Nothobranchius furzeri: one gene and its partners. The protein of the gene in region 3 interacts with the protein of the main gene of each other region in a biochemical or structural test. Links are inferred from orthologs where the notes say so. Each region holds a gene or a part of one and is shown on either strand. Other genes may lie near its edges.

Evidence for each region. The genes of interacting proteins can lie anywhere in the genome.
Region 1: the proteins of cav1 (region 3) and ptgs2b form a complex in vitro, tested with the Homo sapiens proteins (2 studies listed by BioGRID). The link is inferred for Nothobranchius furzeri from reciprocal best matches to the Homo sapiens genes CAV1 and PTGS2.
Region 2: the proteins of cav1 (region 3) and ptpn11a form a complex in vitro, tested with the Homo sapiens proteins (2 studies listed by BioGRID). The link is inferred for Nothobranchius furzeri from reciprocal best matches to the Homo sapiens genes CAV1 and PTPN11.

Annotation. Positions count from the first base shown.
Region 1 is NC_091748.1:67,409,744-67,414,779, forward strand, and holds the start of ptgs2b (prostaglandin G/H synthase 2), read right to left. Parts: upstream 3,368-5,036; 5' UTR 3,312-3,367; coding exon 3,233-3,311; intron 3,055-3,232; coding exon 2,938-3,054; intron 2,843-2,937; coding exon 2,699-2,842; intron 2,619-2,698; coding exon 2,475-2,618; intron 2,190-2,474; coding exon 2,008-2,189; intron 1,918-2,007; coding exon 1,834-1,917; intron 1,741-1,833; coding exon 1,494-1,740; intron 1,191-1,493; coding exon 904-1,190; intron 820-903; coding exon 672-819; intron 175-671; coding exon 1-174. UniProt on the Homo sapiens protein: Dual cyclooxygenase and peroxidase in the biosynthesis pathway of prostanoids, a class of C20 oxylipins mainly derived from arachidonate ((5Z,8Z,11Z,14Z)-eicosatetraenoate, AA, C20:4(n-6)), with a particular role in the inflammatory response.
Region 2 is NC_091746.1:40,340,855-40,345,981, forward strand, and holds the start of ptpn11a (tyrosine-protein phosphatase non-receptor type 11), read right to left. Parts: upstream 3,368-5,127; 5' UTR 3,134-3,367; coding exon 3,120-3,133; intron 1,620-3,119; coding exon 1,497-1,619; intron 1-1,496. UniProt on the Homo sapiens protein: Acts downstream of various receptor and cytoplasmic protein tyrosine kinases to participate in the signal transduction from the cell surface to the nucleus. Positively regulates MAPK signal transduction pathway. Dephosphorylates GAB1, ARHGAP35 and EGFR.
Region 3 is NC_091744.1:52,442,631-52,447,703, reverse strand, and holds the start of cav1 (caveolin-1), read right to left. Parts: upstream 3,398-5,073; 5' UTR 3,209-3,397; coding exon 3,176-3,208; intron 2,393-3,175; coding exon 2,225-2,392; intron 1-2,224. UniProt on the Homo sapiens protein: May act as a scaffolding protein within caveolar membranes. Forms a stable heterooligomeric complex with CAV2 that targets to lipid rafts and drives caveolae formation. Mediates the recruitment of CAVIN proteins (CAVIN1/2/3/4) to the caveolae.

The sequences.
Region 1 (5,036 bases), on a different chromosome or scaffold from region 3:
AGCAGATGGGATTCCCCATCAGGCCTTTGAGTGAGAAAGGAGCGCCCATCTCCACCATCGTCTCCCCGAAGATGGCGTTGGGTCGGGGTTTCTCCACCAGCAGACCAGGGTAGAGCTCCACGGCATCTACATCACCGTACATCTCCTCCAGCAAGGCAGCCATTTCTTTTTCGCCTGATGAAAACGAACAGAACGGTTTTAAGACTTAGTTTAGGTTCTAAATAAGTCCAACATCAATGTGAAACATGTCTTCTCTCTGTGCGGCTGGCTTCTGTTTACCTCCCTAGAGACACAAACTGTTTCTTTGCTAATAAAGTTAGTTTTCATCTACTATAAATTCTCCTGCTGTGAGTTTTATGCCGTCTGCTGTGAAGCAGCAAGCCTCAGTGTGTTTACATCTTGCTCTTTGTGATGACATTCTGTTTATGCTACATCAAGATTAAATGGACGTCTGGCTTTTAGAGTCATGGAAATAAATACCTAACCTCCAAAGCTGCAAGGGTATGAGTGCAGATCACTTCCTTAATAATGAGTAAACTGTGGCGTGAGCTGCGTTCAGCGGACGGACGTGAAGCAATGGTATGAAACCAAAGTACCCGAAATTCTTCACAATTCTCTTACGTCACATTTTCCGAATACAACTGAAAAGTTTTGTAATGAGTTGATCTCACCTGTCAGGTCTTCAAAGGAGCTGTAAGGCTTCATGGAGAATCGCTTCCTGTAGGCGTTGAGGGACTGGTAACGCATCTGCCTGCTTTGCTCAATGGACTTCATGGCCACATACAGGATGGGTCCCGGCACATTACGGCCACCAGCAACCTGTCAGATAAAATTCACATTAATCCCGGAGGTTTTAAAACCGTAGAGGGGCCACAGCCTCAATGTTGCTGCAACAGCTCTTACCCGTCCTGCAATCTGATTGGTGAATGACTCCACCAGGCTGCTGATGCCGTGCTCAGTCATCACAGAGGTGTTAAAGATAAACTCTTTGTAGCTGTAATCTCTCTTCTCCACCTGGAAGCTGTCCGGCATCAGTGGGTGCCAGTGGTATAGCATGTTGAATTCAGATGCGATGCGGTTTTGGTACTGGAAGCGCTGGTTAAAGAGCAGCTCTGGGTCAAACTTGAGTTTGAAGTGGTACCCACTCAGGTGCTGCACGTAGTCCTCAATCACAATCTTAATGGTCTCACCTGACGGATAATAAAAAAAAAAGGTTGATATATCTAATTTGCATGTTTTAAAAGGTTTTGAGAGCAGAGTTAAAAATAAAAGTAAACAAAAATGCTTCCTTATTAAGATGCTGAACAGAAACTGTAAAACCAGTTTCTGCTTCTCTGAATTTGCAACAATGCATCAATGATTGCCAAAACGAAGAGCGCAGCTTCCTCAATTCAAAACCTTTGCTTCATGCAACCTTCTCATTATTTGACTTTTCCAGCAACAAAATAGGAAGTCCTTTATATTCCTCTTTGCGGGAACTCCTTGAAACTCACCAATAAGGATGAGTCGGGAGGTCTGGAAGAGTCTTTCGTCATCCCAGTCTGGGTGGACTTCCTTCAGGACGTCACAAACCCGGTTGTGTTCACGGAGCCAGATGGTGGCGTACATCATGAGTCCAGGGACCAGACCGAAGGCCTCATGGCCGACGGCCAGGCGCTGAGAGTCTGGGACATGAGGGGGGTAGTGCATTTCAACACCCACATCCTTGACTGTTGGAGGGTACACCTCTCCGTTTATTACCTGTGGAGATACAACAGGAACAAACTGTGAGACACGGATGAAAGTGGGACACATTTAACCACCAGAAGTGCACCTGTCTGTCACCTTTCCTACCTGATATTTAAGCTTGCCGTCCTTGAAGAGCCTGAGCTTGTGCTGCTTCTCCAGGTCAACACCGTAGACGTGACTCAGGTCCACCTGAAAACACAGAGACACAACATTGAGCCAAAGATTTCAACTGAAGGTTTGCTCTTTTTGTTTGTCCGATACATAATCTGCTGTACTCACCCCGTGACCTTTAGACACGGTGAAAGCCGGTCCGTTCTTCATATCAGATTTAAAGAACTGGTGCGTGAAGTGTTGTGCAAAGAAGGCAAACATCAAGCTGGTACCCTGTGGGTCTGGAATGAACTTTCTCCTCACCAGGAGCTTCTCAGCTAAAACCTTCACATCCGGCAGCTCTTTTTTACCTGGAAGCAAAAAAAAAAAAAAAAAATGAAGCAGAACAATGAGCTTTAAACATGACACCACACAGACGGAGGACAGTTCCTGTGTAAAACTCCCAAAATGTTGTTTTGTTGTTATCTATTTTGGTCACCATGGCAGATTTTTGGTGTTCCTTCCTGTGTGAAGGACAACAAAAAGAAAACACCAACTCTGTTTTCTTCCAGGTGATGTAATGGGACCAAGACGTTATTGCGCAGTATTTAAGAATCTAAGAAAACTGGTTCTGCTGAGGCAAACAGTGTCCTCACCTACGACTCCCATAGGGGTTGGGCAATCCTGCGGCACAGGTGGGAGGGCACGTGTGTAGTAGGACAGGTTGGAGTAGGCTTCCCAACTTTTATAACCATAATGAGCATTGTAAGTGGGAGGGCTGTCAATCATGTGGGATCGAGCTGGGATTAAGAAAAAAAGACAATATTATTGATATACACTGAAACAAGAGCAAGACTTCATGTGAGCTGAGGGAACTTACACGTCAGCACATATCTCATGATGGCATCTCTGAGAAAGGAAATGCTGTTGATGATGTTCCAGAAAGCCTTGAAGTGGGTGAGAATGTGGTGAACGGTGTTAGGCGATGGCTTCAGGGAGACTTTTATCCTGGTGAGGAATTCAGCTGTGGAGAACGAGTGGAGGATGAGTGAACAAGTCTGGACAAGAGGCAGCTTTTAGTTTTACATTCATTTCATGCCTGATCTTGGTTTTACTTACGCGTTGTGCAGTTTTGGCCATAATATCCAGTACGTGTGCAGTCACATTCATATCTGTCTGCTCCCATTGCTGTGCACACACCTCTGTTCTGGCATGGCTCTGAGCAGCAGGGGTTACCTGTTAACACAGTTAAACTTTTACTAAGAAATCAATGCAGTGTTCGTTTAACCAGGGTGGTTTATTGCTGCTAAGTATTTAATTTCATCCTTAGAATTAAACCGACACAACACTCTTAAGTTTCTCTAACTAAGATACATTTTTTAATTCTGAGGGAAAACTCCAATTGTTGACTTACCTCCTTCGCAGACAAAGCACAGAGCCAACAGGGACAACGCAAATGTGAGTCTGTTCATACTCCAAAAGCTCCGGCGCATTATTTTTGTTCTAAATCCTTTCTCTCCTCTCTCTGATAATCGTCAATGTGTGAGCTCTCAGACATGCGCTTCTCTATATATCAGGAGCTAGTGACGTAATAGCCACGCCCCTTAAAATAAAGAATGAAGAAATTCTCTGAAAATTAAAAGATTTTATTATTTATTTAAAGACTCTGCTCCTTGGGAATTTCTTCGTCCTCTGATTGATTTTGGCTCCTCGGTCAGTGAGAGCTGTTGCTTCACCAGGTTTCCATTTTTTCCAGGTTTCTCACCTGTTGATCCAATGTGTTACAACACCTGGCATCAGAACATCCATCTCCTCCTGGATCCCAAAAGTGGACTCTAACCCTGCCTGATAAACCATTTTCAGCTTTCCATCACTTTTCTGGGTTTCTTGTTAAGGTAGGACGCACGTCTGCCGGAAGATATGTAAGAGAGTGAAAATACGGAAAACAGCAAATAAAAAATTTGTTTATTTGAAATAGGAAAACTAGTTAACTGAGAAATGGAAAAAAATAAGACAGGGCGTTCTGTGGTGATTACACATTTTGTTATTTGTATTTACTCATGTTTTCTAAAAGTCCCTTGTCTAATTATCATATTTTATCAAAATCGTTTAATTGCCTTAATTGAATAGTTTTTAAGAAGAACAGCAGGTGGAAAGTGAAATATAAAAATGCATTTACAATAATAAAGACTGCTCTTCTAAAAGTCTCAAAGAACTTTTAAACATGTATGGAATAAAAACTATAATTAGAATAAAAATCTGCAGCAGGTCTGCTCTACATTATATATTTGAAATAAAGTTATCGTCAATGAATCATCCTTATTAGTAATAATATTAAAAGGGAGAAAAAGTTAGTCAGTGCCCCCGCGTGGAGGAAGTTGCGCAGTGGAGCGCAGTGTGGAGCAGTTTGACGCACGTCAGCCGCAGTTTTGTCTGCCGAGTCAAACTTTTGACCCTTCTTTGGGATTTCCTTTCCACGACGATTTTCCTGCAACGTGATTGTTCTTTATTTGACTTTTGAATCATTTTGTCAGTTTGCCCACCTTTCTCCACTTTGGTGTGATCGCGAATCTTCCTGCCTGACCGACTGCCGGGTGTGAGTGCCGAGAAGCGCCTCCTTATTTTTCTATTTCTACCAACATGGCACATTTAACAGGATTCATTAGTTAGTAACGTCGTCCCGCTGAGGTATGTTGCGCTTCCTTCTGTTTACACATAAATGCTGGTGTTCATTAAAGAGAATTCATGTTTATTGTGGGGATGTGGAGTAAAGGCTGCTTTGAGCCTCTCTTCTGGCACAATAAAGTTACATTTGAACTGAAAACGCACAGCTGCATACGCGATTCAAATATTATGAATTAAGGCAGATGTGTACAGATTAAATACAGAAGGGGGAGATCGAGACTTATTAATTTTCTCACCTATTCTGATCTCTGTTTTGGATTTTTACCCTTCAAGGTTAGGGTTAGGGATGCATTAACAACATTGAAAGTTGCACATTCATTCACCTGCCAGCCCCTTTCTGTTCAGATAATAAGAATCAGGCAGAACCAGTTGGTGATGTCCTTTGACTTGTTTCCAACTTTAAATGCTTTAAATGCTCTTAAGAATGCACATGCAGCCAATCCTGTTGTCTTAAACTCTAAGGTGGAAGTGATGCTGCACGAGGAAGCATTATGTGTGTCTATTAAAAGGTGCATTCACTGCAGCTGTTTTGC
Region 2 (5,127 bases), on a different chromosome or scaffold from region 3:
AACAGGCACGGTCAAAGTTTGACCTGATATAAACATTATTAAAGAGTCACTTATTTGCACATCCAGAACATACTGAGCAAGCCATCATTTCTTTCAAGTCATATTTGTGCTGGTGTAAGGCTAAGTCTGATGTTTGTTCTCTGAGTTGCTCTGCATCACATGCACATCAGAGGTCATCAGCCTGAACATCTGTCTGTTGCATCTGGACAAAAGACTAAAGCCTCATTTACACCAAGTGTGGAACAGATGCAGATCAGAACTAGAGGTCGACTAATATTAGCTCATCTATTGCCAATAGCGATGCCTATATGTAAAGGTCGTGGTCAGCCGATGGCCGATGTGCTGATGATTTTCATGGCTGATATCTGGGCATTTCCACCTTACTTTCATGCTGAAATGGCACTAAAACATCAGTTGATGCACAACATTTCTGAAACCAATTCAGGTTTTGAACACTGAATTTAACTAACTGGTAAATCTTAATTTATGCACTGCTCAGAGTGAAAATCAGACATCTAACTGAAGTTAATCAAACAAATCAGTCAACTGACCAAGTATTAAATGTTCAAAACTGGTATATAAAAACAAATTTTAGCTGAAAATAAGAGCATTTTTTACACAGATGTTCTTCAGGAACGTAAATATACATTTAAATTAAATTCTGCAGCAGCACTGGGTTTCCCGGGAATGTGCCTGACTTTAAATCCACTTTACTAAGGAGGTATATCAGCCTATATCTAAAAAATAGTAAATGTCAGCCACTTCCTGTACGGCTCATGTCATTTTGTCAACTTCATCCACATGCGGCATTCGGAAAAAAAGAGAAACCACATGGAAAAACTCTGCAGCTCCGAATCCAGATTTGCCCCGCAGCAAGCTGGTGCAAATGCTTTGACTGGACTCAATGATTTTTGGTCTTTGCAGAAGCAGCAAAGACTCTGATTCTTGTGCGTTCTGCACTCTGTGTAAATGAAGTTTAACACAAGCAGAGTTTTGGCTGGGGGATTTGGTTGGGCTGCAGATTTTGTGATGATGCTTTATAGGATGTTTTTCTTTCTAAAAACCACATTACCAATAGTTCTGTTTAAAATGAACTCAAACGTTGCATTCTAGTCACAGCTCTATCGTGTCTAACTTTATTGGACTTAGCCACAAGCGTAAAGGCTGTGAACAAAATACTTACCATAAATGAAGAATTTTCTTACCTACATTTGTAATGCCTCTTTTTTTTCTTTTAATGGAGGTTCATGTTGCTTACACCTCTTCTGCTTAATTTTGTGACATTTTATAAATCTCTTGCCTTTTCTATCTTAACATGTTTCTTTTTTTTTAAATCTATGAAGTAAGGCCTCTTTAGTGAATCCTCTGAATAAGTGAGTGAACTAAGCCCTAATCTGAGATTGTTGGTGTGACTGATTGGTTGGAATAACATCATATTCTTGATTTAACGTTTTATTTTTGTTGTTTTTAGTGCAGTAATCACTGTTATCTCTTACCGTACTGAGAGAGTGAAGTCTCCTGGATTACTTTTACTTGGTCTGGCCAAAAAGCTGCCATCCACTCCTCGAGTCAGAAGGAGGTTTTCGGCTTCCACGCCTGTGATGTTGGGATGAAACCATCTAAGAAAGGAAAAGGAACAGAATGATGCTAATTACCACTGTGGCCAAAAACCTTTGTCTCAAAACCAATCAGTTGGGGTTTAATCCGTTGTCCAAATGCATCATTTTACAAAAAAATGTCTCCTACATCTCCCTAATGAAATTTTAACACATTCCTTCAAATTAAACATAATTTAGGGTCACTGTTTAAAACATTACAACCTCTTCCAGATGTAAAACAAAAAAAACTTTTAAAAGAACCATGAAAATCTGACAGAGTAGAGCCATTTAACTCAGCATTTTTCCTGTCTGATTAAACATCAGATGCATCAGATACACATCTGGTACAAGAGTCCAATCATGTGATCTGCAGAACCAACAACAGCACGACTTCTGCATCAATAACCCCAAAAGGTTAGAGTGCTTTGTTCTGCAGCAGAAAGACACACTATCTAGGACTTTAACAACATTTTAGTCTTGTGTTGTATATTGTAACTAGAATCCTAAATATGTTTCTGACAATACCACTACTAGTAATAGCACAACATGACTTTTCAGTTTTCAGTCAATTCTAAAGCAAAAGAGTAACATAACCAGCTCTAAACATAATAAAGCTCTGGGGTTTGACTTTGGGAATCATTTAACTGATCACAGTATTTTCCATTCCCCTTTCAGACCCAAGATAAATGTGTGCTGTATTATCTTACAGCCCTGATTTCAATACAGATTTAATTTCTGTTTTCTGATCCATGCTGTAACCACAGGGCAGTGATAAAAGTTTTCATCCTATGCAGAGCATCTCCTGTTTACATTCCCACACTGACTATATAGACGTGTGTGTGTGTGTGTGTGTGTGTGTGTGTGTGTGTGTGTGTGTGTGTGTGTGTGTGTGTGTGTGTGTGTGAAAAATAATCTGCAGAATGTTTGAAATATTGATCCCCTTGTATTCACTCTGATACAAAACATGAAAAACCTACACTGGTTTCCTATCCTGGATTATTTCATTTTTTTAAAGAAATTCCTGTAAATCACTATCTTTTCTCCTACGTGTATCCTTTTGCTTCTCTTGAATCGGGTTCCCACTTTCCCCCACAAACAAGAATCCAAATCAGAGCTGTGTAAATAATACGGGATCGACCGTGGTGTAACGCTATCTTTGGTTGTCAGACAGAAGCATAGCACAACTAAGCTAACTATTGTGACTATTCTTTAAAAAAACTCTTAAGTTTGCTCAGTAGCTAATTTATGCGTTGCTCGTTTGAAACGGGCGCATATGATACACAAGCAGATGAGATGTGAAGTTTAAAATAACTGTGTAAAAGTATTGTTTTCTCAACTGGCTCCAAGTTGCCGGTGTAACGCTAAACACATTTATTCTAAGCTAGCCGTTTCGCAGCCTTCGGTTCTCTCAGAAGCCTCGATTCCCCACGTACAGAGCTACAGACAGCTGAGCGGAGTCAAACTTAGCCGGCTCGGCTAACATTTTGTCACCAGACATTGTTTTCCAGACAGCCCTCTCACCTCCGAGATGTCATTTTTTCCCTTCCTCACTTCCTCGCTGGCACTTCTTGGTAGCCTCAACAAGCTGGCTAACGCTTCCCACCGTTTCTGCTTTAGCTATCTGATGAAGTGCTTCATCGATTAACACCCGGTCAGGACGGGCGCAGGAAACGAGTTAGGCATCCACGAAAGACATGGGTAGCGCCCGCTACTAAAAAGTCTCTAGGCCTCGGCCCTGGAGACTTCAGAACAAGTCGACTACTGTACGTCACCAAACATGCGACAAAATCATCGGACAAAATAGAGGGCGCTTGGATTTACACCCCCACGCGGCCGTTTACGTTGCCGCACGCGCACCTCGGAATGCAGCAAGCTTCTGGAGTGTCTCCGCCTGAGCACAACCCTAACCGGCGAAATGTGAGATATAAAATGAAGATCCCAATCACTTTCATCCTACGCATGCTCATTAAACCCTTCAAGTGGCAGAAGCGACAAGCGTGCAATGATAAACAAAGGTAGACTTTATGTTTGCGATTATAAATATCTGTGAAATGTCATTTTTACACCGTTTTCTTTTTTTGTAAAATGACATCTTATTAAAATTATACTTAAAGAAATATTATGCTTGTATAAGTTTCCAGTGCCAGAAATGCTTGCTTATAAATACTGAACTACTACAGGTGGTTATCGTCATCATCATCATCATTATCATCATCATCATCATTATCATCATCATCATCATCATCATCATCATTATCATCATCATCACCACCACCACCACCATTATCACCATCCATTATCCAGTATCCCTGCAGTTTGCCTACAGAGCCTACAGGTCTGTAGATGATGCCATCAACATGGCTCTACACTTCATCCTGCAGCATCTGGACTCCCCGGGTACCTACACCAGGATCCTGTTTGTGGACTTCAGCTCTGCCTTCAACACAATCCTCCCAGACCTCCTCCAAGACAAACTGTCCCAGATGAACATGCCTGACCCTATCTGCAGGTGGATCACTCACTTCCTGATGGACAGGAAGCAGCAAGTGAGTTTGGGGAAGAATGTCTCGGGCCTGCGGACCATCAGCACCGATTCCCCTCAGTGTTGTGTTCTCTCCCCTCTGCTCTTCTCTCCATACACCAACGGCTGCACCTCCAACCACGAGTCTGTTTGCAGATGATTCCACTGTCATCAATGAACTGAACTGTATTAAAATGTTTACTTTGTGAATTACCTTGAGACAATTCTTGTCAGGATTTGGTGCTACATATCCATCCATCAATCCATTTTCATCAGCTTATCCAGAGTCGGGTCGCGGGGGCAGTAGCCTAAGGCGAGAGACCCAGACTTCCCTCTCCCCAGCCACTTGAGACAGCTCCTCTGGGGGAATCCCAAGGCATTCCCTGGCCAGGTGAGAGACATAGTCCCTCCACCGTGTCCTGGGTCTACCTTTAGGTCTCCTCCCGGTTGGACGTGCCCAGAAAACCTCACCAGGGAGGCGTCCAGGAGGCATCCTGACCAGATGCCCAAACCACCTCAACTGGCTCCTCTCGATGTGGAGGAGTAACGGGTCTACTCCGAGCCCCTCCCGAATGACCGAGCTTCTCACCCTATCTCTAATGGAGAGCCCAGCCAATCTTTGGAGAAAACTCATTTCGGCCACTTTCGGTCACTACCCAAAGCTCATGACCATAGGTGAGGGTAGGAACGTAGATATCATGGTCTGAGTCTGCGTCTCCCCTCATGTTTCTCCTTATGTTCTCCATCCCTCTCTAGGTTCTCCTTTTGTGCCTCCTAGCGCCCTCATGTGTCCTTGTCTGTGTCTTCCTCTTGTGTCTCCTGGGTTTCCCCATTTGCCCCCAGATCTTCAGCCCTCTAGGTTTCCCTCCACAGGCTTTCCCTACAAGGTCCTGTGCTCCCTTGGCCCCATTTTAGTCACGCCCCTGTAGTTTTTCTTTCTGTAGTGTCTTCCTCTAGTTTCAGCTTCCCCCCTAGAATATTAGTTATGTTTGCTGCCCTTCAGGTCTT
Region 3 (5,073 bases):
CACCGCAGCACACTGAACACACTCCTCTATTTAGCCGAGCTGATTCATGACCTCACAGGACCTCAGAGCTGCCGCAGCTCTCTGTGAAGCCGCGTTTCGGAGCTGGAATCTGGGACGAGGCAGACAGAAGCTCCTCAGCTCTGTTCCACTCACCCTTGGAGAGCCCTGGTGGCTACAGCACAGGTACACACTGGGGATGTCGGAGGCGGAGCTTCTTACAATGATAGTTCAGATCCTTAGATGTGTGTTTCTGTGGAAAAGTTATGAACAACTGTTGTCTCACTTACTGTAGGTAGCTGTGTGAACAGCCTCAGTTTGGGGGAATCTGGCTAAACTCACGAGCTAACAGTGAGGTCACGATGACCTCAGAGCTAACGTGTCATTTTAAAATGATTCTAATCACTAGAGCGTTTTCATGGTTCAGAGCATGACTCCACACTGGGTCCTTCTCATGTTACACAATTGTTCTGGACCATTAATATTGTTATTATTATTATTATGAAATGTTACAGATCTTCTAATTTAGGATGAAAAGAACTTTAAAGATTTTATTGAAATGTTGTTTGCATGAATGTATTTTTAAAGAGACAAGCAGGTTAAAATGCACACTTGTGTTATGCTGACTTCCAGATTCTGCGTTTTATCTGATCTGCCACAAATCTGTCTTTGATGAAAGTTGCCACGACCGTCTCAGAGTGTTAACGCTAGGCCATGCAACCCACTGAGAGTCATCTAGAACCTTACCCTGAGACCTTCAGGAACCTCTCTTGCTGGCACCATCAGCAACAGTTGCAGACCAGATGCCAACATCTGTTTTAACTTTAGCAGCCAAACTGCAGCCATGACAACAATGAAATAAAACACTGGAGCACCCCGGTCCTGACTCACCTCTGAAAATACTTTTGTAACGCTAAAAAGGCAGGACCCCCCCCCCCCCCCCACCATGACGAAACTAGAGAACGTTTTGTCATTTTTCCTGTTATCGTCATGTGATATCAGATTGTTTCGCCTCCTGTCTTGAATGTGTGTGTGTGTGTGTGTGCAAGTGTGAGTGTGTGTGTGAGTGTGCAAGTGTGTGTGTGTGTGTGTGTGTGTGTGTGCGAATGTGAGTGTGTGTGTGTGTGCGAGTGTGAGTGTGTGTGTGTGTGTGTGGGTGTGGGTGGTGGTTGTGTGAGTGTGTGTGTGTGTGTGTGTGTGTGTGTGTGTGTGTGCGAGTGTGAGTGTGTGAGTGTGAGTGTGCGTGCATGCGTGTGTGTGTGTGGGGGGGGGACTGGAGGGAGAGTCTGACTCACTTTCACATTGGAGAGCTGGGGAGGAGGGAGAGACAGCATGAGTGCAGACAGGAGCAGAGACGCTGGAGAGCAGTTTTCCCCTTTTTATCCAACAGCAGCTTCTAGAAGGTCACGTGGGTAACATGCATCCTTTTATGTGTTTTTGGAACGTCTCTTAAAAAGATTACCGTGAAAGCAGCGAGATCTTCAAGTGGACTTTAATCATAGTTGGTTCCTTTTACTTTGAACTGCAGCATCTCAGCCAATTTTTCATCCCAAGAAAATCCTCAGTCAGTTCCCTCTCCAAAAACTGTCAGATGCTAATAAAGAAGCATCTCTGCTCCCTTGGCTCAGGTGCTGGCATGCAGGGAGGAGGGGGGAGTAGAATGGGAGAAAATGTAGGAGGAGGGAGTGGTGAGGGATCCCATCAGATTAGCAGGGTGTTTCAATGTTTTCACAAGGGTAGACTCAAGCAGGTGCCTCGCTGCTCCCTCTCCTCTCCTCACCTCCTCAAACTAAACACACTTCCAGCCTTTGTGCGAGCAGCCTTCTCCCTTACGGAAAGAATTTGCTTTCATCACAAAAAGGCAAACAGCGACTGTGGGAATCAACGCGCGCAGCAGCAACAACAGGAAATTCGTGATGTTTCCTCTTTAGAGCGGGATTGTCACGTTTCAGAGCTGATTATGATAACTTCTTTCAACTTCACCGCGTTTGCAAAGCTTCTTCCTAATAGGGGAAAGACACGGAGGGGCTGGAGATCAGCGCGCAGCCGGAGCGCGTCTCCGAGACGCGCACTTCAACAGCTGCCAGAAGTTTGGCAACGTTCTTAGACAAACGTAAAACTATCACCTTGATTTTCTCTCAACACTTCGTTTGCAGCAGTTATACAATAAAGCATCACTCCAGCTGCACCTTTTAGTTCAAACGTCAAACTTAAAGCTCTGACTCACCTTGACGACGTTGTCGTTTATGTGCTTGGGGTCCCGGTTGACCAGGTCTATCTCCTTGGTGTGGACATCCTCCATGGCCTTTTCGTTCATACTGTCGTTGTCCATGTCTTTGTTGTTCGGTTTGTAAATGTTTCCTTGTTTTCTGATGAAGGGTGAATGCGGAAACTCCTGTAAGGATTCACGTAGAGGAGGAGGAGGAGGGAAAGAAAGACAGAAAAAGAGAAGCGTGAGGAGGAGGAAGAAGGGTGCGCAGCGCGCTGAGAGGGAACGAAGGACTGGAGCAGCCAGCCACACAAACTGGGATGGGTTTAAATGAACGCAAAGTGAAGCACCACACCCCTGCGTTCAGCCGCAAGGGGTCCTCACCACGCAGGCTGCTGCTCCACATCCTGACCCACCTCACAGCGGGCTGGAATGCACCTGGGCGCACGGAAACCTCTCTTTTGGTGAATGCGTAAAAGTACGCATCCCCAAAAATCTATTAAACCAAATATCTTTAAATTAATTCATGTCATAAACTGCAACGAGTCCTCTCCTCTCGATAGGACCTGTGCGACACGTGATTATTAATAAATGGTGCCAAAACATGCAGGTTTTCCGTGTTTACTACATTAAACCCGAATGCGTAAAAGTGCGTCAATCTGCCACTTTCTCGTTTTTTACGCAAATATATGTGTTTTCGTTCACTTTCGCCAACGTTATGGGTAATATAAATAAAAAGGGGTTCTTGCTGACAAATAGACTGGTCTTAAGAGTGTTCGCATCACGCAAACGTTCTTAAAGAAAACTCCAAAGTCCTGGAGAGGCGACAAGCTCCAGGTGTGAGGGATAGAAACATGAAATTCCCCCTCGTGGGTCCAATAAATCCTACAGAGATGTATTACCTCCTTAATGAAAAAATATCAAAGCTCAAAACTCTGAGACAAACTACAGCTGAGAGTCATACTGTACCTCTTCTGTTTCGTCCTTCAGTTCTCCTGTCATTCTGTCCGCGACTGGAGGAATCCTCGTTCAACCAGATGCGACAGGAGAGGAAACCGAGTGGGAGGCGTGGAGGCACACTCCCAGCTCCGCGCTTTCTGTCAGGGACCTGCCTCCAGCATGCCCGAAGGGAAACCCGCTTTTCAGGGGACTCCTGTATTCACAAGCGCTGCAGCGTGTCCGCGCTGGAGGAGACTCTCACACGGACTGAAGGGCTTCTGAAATAAATTGGCACAGAGCAACTGCGTTTGGGGATCAAGGCAGAGGATAGCATGGCTTATTTGTTGGGTGAAATGTGGGCGTTAATAGGGAATGACAAGGTGTGGATACCTGCAGCTCGCAGGGAGAAAGAGCCAGATGGAGAACACCTATGGATCGTTTGTAAAATCATACACCGATCATATTGTAAAAAATACAAATTCACAATAAAAACCAAAGCTATCCAGGATTTAGATGGTTTTAAACAAAGTTATTTGCTAACGTTTGCATTTAGACTGCGGTCCACAGAAATGTGAAGAGGTCTCTCCATGTTAATCTATGTTATATCTGAAGTGGTTCTCGGCACATTCAGATATGATCCATAGTCAAACCGTCTCATAGAATCCCATCACCAAAGCAATTCTGAGACCTTAGGAGCGTTCTTCACCCGCTCTTATTTTGGTAGGCTGCTTTGTTTTTACACAGGTCTGATATTGTAAGTTGGCTGATTATTGAGTTAGATTTCAGTCATTTTCATCAATTTCTTGTTGTCTATATTCATCCAAAAATGTATTTTTCATTTAATGTGTGTGTGTGTGTGTTGCTTTATAATTGGGTTCATTTAAAATGTTTCACTTAATGTTTTAAATACAGTAACACAAAAATGTACAATACATGTTTTGCCTCATTCAGTTCATAATAATAAAAATAGTCATGATGGTAAATTGCCTGCATTTGTGCTGGGATCTTCTCTCCAGCCTTCTAGACTCCTGAAACCCCCCAAGGTGCTTTATAACACAATCAGTCGTTTAGCCCAACCCCCCCCCCCCCCACACACACACACATATTCACCCATTGGTGATGATGAGCTACACTGTAGCCACAGCTGTCCTGAGGTGGACTGATGGAGGCAAGGTTGCCGAGCACAGGCGCCACCGGCCCCTATGACTACCAGCAGCAATCCACTCTCCCTCCTGAGCTGCTGCTGCCCATGATAAATAAATAAAACTACTTTATAATAATCACATTTTTATTCGTAGAGTTACATGTAATTGTAGCCTTTCATGATAAAAGCACGCCGAGGAGAATCCCTACCTAACATCTTTGTTGGTATAATGATCTGAGGTTGTTGATGTTGGGGTTCTCCCTGCATGTTGTAAACCTAAAACTAACCAGATTTTCCCACAAAACCAATCAAGTTTAGTATTCACTGTTGGTCAGAAATATCCCGGAGAAGCCCCCGTTTTATGTTTTGACTTTCCTCTTTAGGCCCCAGATGAATGCAGATCTAGTTGTATTTAACAACAAAGTTATGTTACAACACCTAAACAAACCAGAACAAACAAAGTAGCTACAGTTATAGATCTGATTTAGGTGTGCTTTAAATCCACACCTTCCCAGGTGCAGCCTGTCCACGCAGCCCAGCTGATCTAGAACGTTACAGTACCACCGCTTGGCCGTTGAGGATGGATTGTTTTGTTGTTGGAAATCTTCTGCAGAAAGCTCAAGTTCTTCATTTCCACCAGGATCCTTTTCTCTTTTATTGTGAAGAACCCCTCTGTGATGTCTCCTCTGGACAGTTGCATAAATAAATAACCCCCACCTACTTCCAAAGGTGCGGCCTTGAGCGCAGATCAAAACAGAGCAGATGTGCACCTGTTTCACATAAA